3 linked regions of the Sus scrofa genome follow. The protein of the gene in region 1 purifies or fractionates together with the protein of each later gene. This does not show direct contact. Links are inferred from orthologs where the notes say so. Each region holds a gene or a part of one and is shown in the gene's direction. Other genes may lie near its edges.

Region 1 (4,029 bases):
GCTTTTTCCATTGTTTCCATTAATTTCACCCATATTCGTTTTTAAAAAAACAAGGCCCTTATCCTCATCAGCAAAACACAGATGTATGATTTAGCATATAAAACCGGTAATTACATACTCATTTACAAAAGATTAATTTTTTTCTCTTTTTGTCAGTTTTCAAGAAGTCTTCCCGTGATTAACTGTAAACAGGAATGGTTTACACCTCAAATTAGAAGCCATTAATTAGCATGACGAAGTATACACAGATACACAGATAATTTAAATTATTTAATCACTAATCACTTTGGCTAAAGTGTAGTATACTCTCTCATTATCCTTCGGTAGGTTATTGATCTGTCACTATATTCCCTCCCGATCAGTTAGAGACAAATATTAGCGTTCTTTCCTTTCTCTCAGGTTTACACTATTCCTTCTCGTAAACACTTAAGAAAGCTTTAAGGTTCTTTAATCCCAAATCCCTAATTAGCCATTACTAGCCTTTTTGTAACGAAGGGGAAAAAAAAAAGAGTATCTGAAGTACAGACTACGAGTTCGCTTTGCCAATATAACAATAAAAAACCCCACACATTTAAAAAATGTACGGTTAAGGCAATGGCAGTAATAAAAGATATATGCAGAGGTGGCTTCAGCAAATAACGGGCTTGGAAACGCAAGGGCTCAACAAAAAGCCCCTGAACCTCTCCTGCAATATACAGCTCTCCGTTAAATTACACAACACTTTGCCTAGGCTGCAGAAATAACAGGACAAGACTTACACAGATGCCAATCCGCAGCATTTATACACATGCACATGGCCAAGAGACAGAAACCAAACACTATCATTCAACTCGGGCAGGGTGGCGCGATCCCGAGTTTGCCCAGCGTGAGAGTGCTCTATGCGTGTGTGTCTGTGCGCGCGCGTGAGAGTGAGACCCATCCTCGGGGCATTTCCCCTCTCTGGGCAGTTTTGCTTCATTTGTTTCCTATTTCTGCTACATAGAAACTAACTTCCATCTCAGCCTCAGCCAGCGCCACTGAATAGAGCCTGTGCTGCGGCGCCGTGTGCGTCAGATCCCTCCGCAGAGCCGTCGCCGACCCCCCTCCCTCCCGCGATCGGCCTCCACAGAGAAAGCGCCTTGCAGCCAACCGGCGGCTTCGGCTCCGACATCTTCGACTGGAAATAAATAAATAAATAGCACCTCCGGCCGGGAAGCAGCGGGCGGGGGGCTCGCCGCGCCGGGTGCGGGGCGCCGTGGGCGCGGGGTCGGAGGCACTCCTTTTTTTCAGCGCCGGGGGGCGGGGGCGCGGGCAGGACCGGGCTGAGCCCGGGGCCGCGAAGGCGGCGGACTCTTTTCTGCGGCGGAGGGATCCGCGGCGGAGGCGGCGGCGGCTGGAGCCGCTGCCTGAGAGTTGTTGTTTCCTCCTCCTCCTCCTCCGCCTCCGCCGCCGTAGCTTGAATGGTGGAGCCCAGGCTCGGCTCGTGAACACACAGTGACAGCTATAGGGCAGGCGGCGGCACCATCCCCGCTTCCCCTCGGCGGCGGGGTGTCCCGCCGGCGGCCCCGAAGTGACCCATAAACATGTCTTGTGAGAGGAAAGGCCTCTCGGAGCTGCGATCGGGTAAGTCGGGGGGCTGCCGGGGCCGCTGGCACCGGGCGATTCCGCCCGCGGGCCCCCGCCCCCCGCCGCCCGGCCGCTCAGCCTGTGTCTCCGGTCCCTCTCTCCCGCGCAGAGCTCTACTTCCTCATCGCCCGGTTCCTGGAAGATGGACCCTGTCAGCAGGCGGCTCAGGTACGGCGGCGCGCGGGGCGGGCCGGGCGGGCGCTCGCCGCTCGCGGGCGTGGGGGAGGGCGGCGGCGGCGGCGGCGGGGCCGGGCCCGGGGCGCGGGGCTCAGCTCTCCCCGCTTTGTTGTTGCAGGTGCTGATCCGCGAGGTGGCCGAGAAGGAGGTAAGGGCGGCGGCGGCCCGCGCGTCCCGCCGCTGCGCGGCCGCCAGCGGGCCGCTGCGCCGCCGCCGCCGCCGGGGCGCGGGGCGCGGGGCTCGGGGTCCCCGGCGGGGCGGGGGGCAGGCGGGGGAGGGGCGCGGGCGGGCCGGGGCCGGGGGCCGGGCTCACGGGGTGCCCTCTCCCCGCAGCTGCTGCCCCGGCGCACCGACTGGACCGGGAAGGAGCATCCCAGGACCTACCAGAATCTGGTGAGACATTCGCGTCGCGGAGCAAAGAAACTTTTCCCCGAGTCGAATAAAAATTGAATTTCCCGCAATTTTTTACGGAGACAAAAACTTGGCCTCGGAACCTGCAAGCTCCCAAGGCCAGGGGAGGGTTGGGAGGCAGGCGCGGGGGCCGCGGGGGGCAGTGGCCGGGGGGACCCGCACCCCGGGGCCGCAGGGGCTGCCGACAATTTATTTGTGATATTTTGTTAATGTGCTAGAAATAAAGATACGTCATGAGCGTTGTGCAGTGCAAGGCCGGAGGAGGAGGGGCCGGCGCGCGCGGCCGTGCGGGCGCGGGGGCGCGCGCGGCGGCGGCGGCGGCGCGAGCGGCGCGAGCGGCGCGAGCGGGGAGGGCGCGCTTTGCACGCCTGCTCGCTCTGCTCGCGCGGGCGGCTCGGCTTTCTCCTGCCCCACACAATGGCTGGTGACTAACTGCTCCGAAGTGGCATTAGCATTTCACAAGCCGGCGGTGCCGCCACCGCGGAACCGGGTCGAGACGCTGGGGGTTTTTTGTTTTTGTTTTTTCCTCCCATTTCTTTCGCCTTCCTTACGAACCGATCTGGGTTTTTTTGTTGGAGAGGTTCGGATGTACGATGCCGGCTGGCCAGCGGCGCTTGCATTTCCCCGAGCGCTTTCTCAGAAGGGACCCCCGAAAACCAGGAGTTTAAGGAGCTTTTTTTTTTTTCTTTCTTTCCAATCCGGCTGTTTCTCGTGTTAGGCCTCCTCGTTAAATTAAAAGCTATTTTTGGAGGCCACTGAAGATCAGTTCTGATTTTTGTTCCTATGTTTACTGTGGAATGGAAATTGGCAAATAAAAGTGCTGCAGTTTCCATCGGGGAGTATTTTGTTAGCAGCTTGGGAAACCTATTTCTTACTTCTGTGGGTTTTCGAAGTGAATATTTTAGTAATTTCTAAAAATCGCTTGTTAAAAGCGGACCTATCACGTAAGGATTGTGAATAGAACAGTGGATATTTGTTTTCGGGAGGTATGTTTTCGTATTGTTTTCTCCTAAACTGATATAGGTTGTATGTATGTGTGTGTGTTGGGAAATTAAAAGCAGTTACTGGGGCAGATCAAACCTTTGAAATCTAGGCAGTGCATTGATTTTCTGAGATATATTTGCACCTGATGTTTTGAAATAGTTATAATGTTACTTTATGAGGGTTTCTGAAAGGATTAGGAAGTTTCAGCTAGTTTAGAATTGAATGTGTTCTGTGAGATGAAGGGATGACATGATTTTTGGTGGCTTTTGTTTCATTTGTGTATAGACATCTAACCTCTGTATCCAAATGTGTTAGGATTTAATAATTGGCTGTTGCTAAGTGTTCATAGCTATTGAAGTTAGCGAGGGTACTTAGGTTTAGTTATTTTAAGGGAGACTTAACCCATACATTCGTTTCCATTCTGTTAGCTTTCCTAGTATTTAGTGATTTAGGCTTGTTTCTTGGCTAAAATGGAGTTTGAAGCAAACTCCAAGATTCAGTAACTACAGAATTTAATTTTTACCTTTGTAAATATTTGACAGAAGTCTTAAGTGGATTTCCATGTTTTTCGTGTTACTTTAAAAATTGTCATAAAGATTATAATGTTCCATTTTAAAGAATAAGGCAGACAGAATTCATCTTTGCATTTATTTTTACCAAAGTCATTTTTACATTTCATAAAAACCCACAAACCCGAAGTCAGTGAGGATTGCTGTATTTTTTAACGTGAAGACTATTGGTCATGTTACATTCATATTTTTAAGATGAGGCTGTCAATGGTATTTGGCCCAGTTATGGGGATGTTTAATCCCTGTAAGAGTATCATTTTATTTTCCAGTGAAAACAAGGTTA
Region 2 (3,517 bases), on another chromosome or scaffold:
AATTCTGAAATATGATTCCCCCCCCCAGGAGAGGCTGTAAATTTTTAGCAAAGTCAAATGTCAATAATTCTAATTTTTTTTGTAGGAAGTCATTAATTGCTACTGTAGAGAAACAACTTCTAGGTGAACACTTAACAGCAATTCTTCAGAAAGGTAATTGGCAATTTATAAATAAGAGATTACTTTTTAAATGATAGCAGCAAACAAGTAGAAAATTTTTAAAGATTGCACCTTTGAAAATTTGCTAGCGTGTGGCTGCATTTCTGAGGATGGATGCAACCCACTTTTCCCTAGTCATCACTGTAAACTTAAGGAGGTGCTTCTTTCCTTAAGATACAGAAAGTAAGATGAGAGGACTCTACCAATACCAGTAAAGAAACAGTGGGAATTTGGGGATTTTTTATTTTAATTTGTAAGACTACAGTAATAAGGAAAGGCATTTTTTCACTAAAATGTTTCTGTTCCTAGCATATAAAACCAAGCATTTCTTTTTTTTTGCTTTTTTTTTTTGTCTTTTTAGGGCTGCTGCACCTATGGCATATGGAGGTTCCCAGGCTAGTGGTCCATTTGGAGCTAAGCTACTGGCCTACACCACAGGCAGCACAGCAACACCAGATCTGAGCTGAGTCTACAACCTACACCCCAGCTCACGGCAATGCCGAATCCTTAACCCACTGAGCGAGGCCAGGGATCGAACCTGCAACCTCATGGTTCCTAGTCGGATTCGTTTCCGCTGTGCCATGACGGGAACTCCCAGAACCAAGCATTTCTATTACTCCTAAGTTATCTATGAGGATGTCCTGAATTTTGACAGTGCCACAAATAGGCCAAAGTCTTACCTTTCTTTCCAGTCATCTTTTCTTTTGTGTAAAATATTTTAGAATTTTAATGCAGTTACGCTATTCATTCTGAAAATCAAATGCATTAGAACTTCATTTAAACTTTGCCTATTGGTACATGGGTTTCAATATACCACAGGCCATATCTAATACTCTAAAATATACCTATGTACACTGATGTATATATGGCTGTTACAAATTTGATATGAAGTATATATATTTATGTAAATCAGTTTTTATAAGTTGGTTTATACATGTGATCTGCCATACTAAATAGTATAAACTGCTATATTATTATTTTTATTTTTATGTAAAGTTTTCTATATTTAGTTTTCATTTGGAAAGGTGACTGTCTCTTTGAGTTTAATTCAGAGCACATATCCATATTAAAATCTAGTATCACAGTAATAATTTAACTTAATTTTCATTACAATATCTGATGTTTTCACTTTTTTAATAACAAATACTTCAAAATTCAGGTTTAAATAATCTCCTTGATGAAAACCGAATTCAAGATTTATCTCTCCTATATCAACTCTTCAGTAGAGTTCGAGGAGGCGTTCAGGTTCTCTTGCAACAGTGGATTGAATACATTAAGGTATTAACAATTAACCTGGTTTTTTTTTTTTTTCCTCTCATGGCTTATCATTTATATATCCAGAGTGCATATCAGCTAGCATTTAGTACTCGTGAGATCCAATTTTTTTTAAGTAATGAGAATTTTGAGAGCAGTCAACCTGAGAATGATAGCTGTGTGGAAAATTAGCAATAAAACAGTTACCTTCTTGATGTCTGATGTGATTTCTAGCTCTGATACTCAGAGCAGTGAATGTGGAGAAAGAAATAGGACCTTTTTTCTATCCAAATTTCTTCCCTTTTTTCAATCTTACACTGAAGGCAGATTGCTATTTTCTAAAAATTCAAAGCTCACTTCTTTAAAAGTAGGGAAAAGACCCTAGACACTTCTATAATAATACCCCATTATGATACTGTATACCCAGTGATCATTCATTATTTTGTGATTATAGATGAATGGTATTTTTTCACTATTTTTTTCTTTCCTTGACTTCAAAACTAGCTTTATTTTATTTTAAGTTTTTTGAGATTTTAAAGTATGTGTACCTACTTAAAATATGATTTTTGGATTATTTTCATTGTAGATAATTCAATTCTGGTAAAAAGTGGTTATTTCTGTTTTTTAGGCATTTGGTAGCACTATTGTAATTAATCCTGAAAAGGATAAAACCATGGTTCAAGAATTACTGGATTTTAAAGATAAGGTTGACCATATAATTGATATCTGTTTTCTGAAGAATGAAAAATTTATCAACGCCATGAAAGAAGCATTTGAAACATTTATTAACAAAAGACCAAACAAACCTGCTGAACTTATAGGTATTTTTCCAATTCCTTTCCCCAATTATTTAATGTTCTTCTTTTACTCATAAAATTTGAGTTAATCTGAAATTTTGACAAGGTTGTAGTAAATTAACACCTCATTTATTTGGAGTTACTTAGGTGATGATTTCTTTTTTTTTTATAATTTTTTTTATTTTCCCACTGTACAGCAAGGGGGTCAGGTTATCCTTACATGTATACATTACAATTACATTTTTTCCCCCACCCTTTCTTCTGTTGCAACATGAGTATCTAGACAAAGTTCTCAATGCTATTCAGCAGGATCTCCTTGTAAATCTATTCTAAGTTGTGTCTGATAAGCCCAAGCTCCCGATCCCTCCCACTCCCTCCCCCTCCCATCAGGCAGCCACAAGTCTCTTCTCCAAGTCCATGATTTTCTTTTCTGAGGAGATGTTCATTTGTGCTGGATATTAGATTCCAGTTATAAGTGATATCATATGGTATTTGTCTTTGTCTTTCTGGCTCATTTCACTCAGGATGAGATTCTCTAGTTCCATCCATGTTGCTGCAGATGGCATTATGTCATTCTTTTTTATGGCTGAGTAGTATTCCATTGTGTATATATACCACCTCTTCCGAATCCAATCATCTGTCGATGGACATTTGGGTTGTTTCCATGTCCTGGCTATTGTGAATAGTGCTGCAATGAACATGCGGGTGCACGTGTCTCTTTTAAGTAGAGTTTTGTCCGGATAGATGCCCAAGAGTGGGATTGCGGGGTCACATGGAAGTTCTATGTATAGATTTCTAAGGTATCTCCAAACTGTTCTCCATAGTGGCTGTACCAGTTTACATTCCCACCAAGAGTGCAGGAGGGTTCCCTTTTCTCCACAGCCCCTCCAGCACTTGTTATTTGTGGATTTATTACTGATGGCCATTCTGACTGGGGTGAGGTGATATCTCATGGTAGTTTTGATTTGCATTTCTCTTATAATCAGCAATGGTGAGCATTTTTTCATGTGTTTGTTGGCCATCTGTATATCTTCTTTGGAGAAATGTCTATTCAGGTCTTTTGCCCATTTTTCCATTGATTGATTGGTTTTTTTGCTGTTGAGTTGTATACGTTGCTTATATATTCTAGAGATAAGCCCTTGTCCATTGCATCATTTGAAACTATATTCTCCCATTCTGTAAGTTGTCTTTTTGTTTTCTTTTGGGTTTCCTTTGCTGTGCAAAAGCTTTTCAGTTTGATGAGGTCCCATGGGTTTATTTTTGCTCTAAGGTCTATTGCTTTGGGAGACCGACCTGAGAAAATATTC
Region 3 (3,517 bases), on another chromosome or scaffold:
TGCCCCAGACAGAGCCACAGCCCGGCGCAGGTTTGGTGTCTCCCCGCTCGCAGCCCCCTGGAGCAGCAGCTGGTACGTTTTCTCCGGAGCAGGGCCTTCAATTACTGTCGACCTCAAACAGAAGCTTCCAGATTCTGCTCGGTGTCTCTTTGGAAGAAAGTACGTCACGTAGATAGTAGACATTTGAGTGATTCGTTTCAGGGCATGTTTTGACAAGCAAGATTGTTTCAAGAAAATAGTGAATCATGTATACTTAAGAACGTAGTCTAATTTTTACTAGAGACCTTTTACAAAATTAAAATCTGACTTTTGAATCCTTTCTTTTTTTTTTTTTAGCTTTTTAGGGCCACACCCACGGCATATGGAGGTTCCCAGGCTAGGGGTCAGATCAGAGCTACAGCTGCTGGCCTTCACCACAGCCACAAAACGCCAGATCCGAGCCACATCCGCAGCCTACACCACTCTCACGGCAACGCTGGATCCTTAACCCACTGAGCGAGGCCAGGGATGGAACCCACACCTCATGGTTCCTAGTCGGTTTCATCTTCGCTGCGCCACTGTGGGAACTCCTGATCTTTGAATTCTTAAGTCATCATTAAGCATTTCAGTAGATAAATTGTAAAATGAAGTATTTGCAGGAGTAGGTCAGAAAGTCATTGAGAGAAACAAGGGGCCTCTGACCCCTTGCCTGGGCGCCCGGGTTGGACGTGTGGGCACATGCGCCTGTTGACAGGTCCCGCAAAGCAGGGACTTAGGCGCCCTCGTGGAGGCTCTTCCGATCGTGTGGTGTTAGCAAACCTTCATGGAGGGGTCATGCCTAGAGTAGTAAGTACCTGGACGCTGCCGTAGGCGGCTGGTATGAAGCGGCTGGGAAAGACCGGATGCACCAGCTTATCCTTTGGCAGAGGCACTTGCCGGCCGAGGGGCTGAATTAGACGTGACCTGGGCTCAGAGCCCCAGGTCAGAGCTGGTGAGAGAGAGCCTTCTGCAGACGCAGCTGCTGGAGCGGGACGGGGGGAAAGGGGACCTCCCCGGCTGCCGAGGGCAGGGGCGGCTCCTGCGTCCCGGGTCACCTGTGACCTCGTGTGGCCATTGTACCTCGGCCGCCTGCCGCAGCCGCTCACGGTGTCGTGTGACCACAGGGCTGGACCACCTGCTGGACGAGAACAGGGTGCCCGACCTCACGCAGATGTACCAGCTGTTTAGCCGCGTGCGGGGCGGCCAGCAGGCGCTGCTGCAGCATTGGAGCGAGTACATCAAGGTGCGTGCAACCCCCTGGCCGCGGCGGGCAGGCGGTGGCCGTCCCTCTTCCAGGTCACTTGTGCACCCGGTTCTAGGGATGGAGGGGGTCCAGGTGTCAGCTGTGCCCGCTGCCCTCGGCGCTCGTGGTCAGCATGAGCACCGGCTTACATCAGCGGTCGTGATGGCCTCATCTCCCGAGCCATGACCTTTGCTCGGGGGCAGCTGCTGCCCGGGTTGGTGTGTCGGGGTGGTGCGGGTGCTGCTTGTGTCTTGGAAATCCAGGTCTGTGAGCAAGCGTGCGCTTTCAGGCGTGTGCGCACAAACACGCGCAGGTGGTTCGCACAGAGGCGGGCGCAGGTGAGACGCCAGCCACGTGGATGAGTTGAGGGCACATGGCAAAGGCCAGTGTCCAGTGTCCCAGTTGTGATGCTGCTTGGTGGCTTTGCCACCTGGTACCTTTGGGAACAAAGGACATGGTCACCGCTTCTGCGTGTGGATCTGTGACCACGCAGGGAGGTTCAACTAAGTCCAAAAGATAAAATAATCTGGCCTGGAGCCGCCGACCAGGGGTCCCGAGAGACCCGAGCCCAGCAGCCGACACCCCAAGCCCACCTGTGTGCTTCTCCGTCTGGGCGGAAGGGCAGTGGTGAGGACGCTGGGCCGGCGCCCGCTGACGGTCTGCAGGGAGGCTCTGGCAGCGCAGGAGGTGTGTTCACGGGTCGGGTGTGCCTTCTTTCAGGCCCGGTCAGTACTGGAGGGAACGGGGGGAAGGGCGACCCACCCTCGCCCCCACCCCCCGTGGCACTGGTGACACTTCACGCCTGTCTTCTCGCCAGGCACCTGCCCCCTCGGGCATGTGTGCGGGTGTGTCCTCCGAAGGGCGGTTTTAAAAACAGACGTTTGTCATGTGGACTGGCAGGTGTCTTCAGTGCCGCTTGGGCTGGTAGCTTGTCTTGGCAAAGGTGAGCTGCAGCTCTCACACGGGCCTTTAAATGCCTCACACAGCACCTGTGAGTGAAAAGCCGGGCTCTGGACCATGGTTGTGAGTGAGGAGCAAGCCCATTAGTCAGGAAGTACAAACAGTGGCGTCAGGTTAGGGGACGTCATTTCTCTTTGACGAATTTGTAAGTAAGAGTTTTTAAAAGCAGCCGACGGTTCCCCAGTAATTTGTAAATTCTTCCAGAAGCAGGATTGCAACCCCAGAGCCTTCTCTGCACATCTGCTTCATTTTTAGGTAGTCGACTGCGTTTGGGAAACTTCTGAAAGTAGTTAGCATGTAATACCAGGAGTGATTAATTTGCACTGACCCGTTGAGAGTGTTAGCAGGAGAGAAATGACGCTGTGTCACACACCCGGTGAGGACGCGGAGCGCTTGTTCTTGCAGACGTTTGGGACAACCATCGTTATCAATCCAGAAAAGGATAAAGACATGGTGCAGGACCTGCTGGACTTCAAGGACCGCGTGGACCACGTGATCGACGTGTGCTTCCAGAGGAACGAGAAGTTCATCAACCTGATGAAGGAGTCCTTCGAGGCGTTCATCAACAAGCGGCCCAACAAGCCCGCCGAGCTGATCGGTAGGGACCCTCCCCCGCCGCGTCCCCGCGGGAGCCCGCAGAGCGCGGGCAGAGGCTGGTCCCCCGCAGCTCACGCTCCTCACGCGGAGGTGGGCCCCTGACGTAGGCGCACACGCGTGTTCAAAACGCGTGCACACGTGCGTGCGTGGATATACTTTAAATGCGTGTGGACGTTCGCGGCGTTTCCATAAGGGCTCCTGTTGGGGCGACTCTGCAGAGAAGTGAGCGGGAGAGCCCGGCCCCAGTCTGCACGGCCTGCAGCTCCGGGGCCGCCCTTTGTAAAGACGAGGCTCGATGCTCCGTGTGACCACAGACAAGTCATTTCCGCTCAGAGACTGGCCGTGTGAGGATAACTGTCAGTCTCCAGAGCGTGTTCCGCATGAGGTGCTCTGGAGTCACTGTCTCCGTGTCCTCCAGGCAGCATTAAAACAGGGTAAAATTGAACGGCATCTCCTAGGAGAGCACGTTTCAGAAGACAGTCTTTAAAAGGTCACTTTGTATAGTTATTTCACGATGACTTCAAAGTGTATTTCAGGATTCATAGAATTTCACTAGTGAGTAGTGTTTTCCAGTTCCAGGAGGCAGAGGCAGAGAAAGGCGATGCAGAATCGGGCTCTGCCGAAGAGGTGGGGGGGATGCGGTGTTCCTTGTACCGGGGTCTGCGTTGGTGTGCGTGCAGGGGGTATTTCACCCTCGAG

What was found.
Region 2: the proteins of PHIP (region 1) and CUL4B purify together in Homo sapiens (affinity purification with western blotting; 8 studies listed by BioGRID and IntAct, with this or other methods). This does not show direct contact. The link is inferred for Sus scrofa from reciprocal best matches to the Homo sapiens genes PHIP and CUL4B.
Region 3: the proteins of PHIP (region 1) and CUL4A purify together in Homo sapiens (affinity purification with western blotting; 11 studies listed by BioGRID and IntAct, with this or other methods). This does not show direct contact. The link is inferred for Sus scrofa from reciprocal best matches to the Homo sapiens genes PHIP and CUL4A.

What each region holds. Positions count from the first base shown.
Region 1 is NC_010443.5:87,115,662-87,119,690, forward strand, and holds the start of PHIP (PH-interacting protein), read left to right. Parts: upstream 1-1,222; 5' UTR 1,223-1,562; coding exon 1,563-1,602; intron 1,603-1,714; coding exon 1,715-1,773; intron 1,774-1,900; coding exon 1,901-1,930; intron 1,931-2,115; coding exon 2,116-2,175; intron 2,176-2,540; exon of another isoform or gene 2,541-3,179; intron 3,180-4,029.
Region 2 is NC_010461.5:98,685,572-98,689,088, reverse strand, and holds part of CUL4B (cullin-4B), read left to right. Parts: intron 1-85; coding exon 86-153; intron 154-1,318; coding exon 1,319-1,437; intron 1,438-2,041; coding exon 2,042-2,234; intron 2,235-3,517.
Region 3 is NC_010453.5:78,574,024-78,577,540, forward strand, and holds part of CUL4A (cullin-4A), read left to right. Parts: intron 1-1,142; coding exon 1,143-1,261; intron 1,262-2,626; coding exon 2,627-2,819; intron 2,820-3,517. UniProt on the Homo sapiens protein: Core component of multiple cullin-RING-based E3 ubiquitin-protein ligase complexes which mediate the ubiquitination of target proteins. As a scaffold protein may contribute to catalysis through positioning of the substrate and the ubiquitin-conjugating enzyme.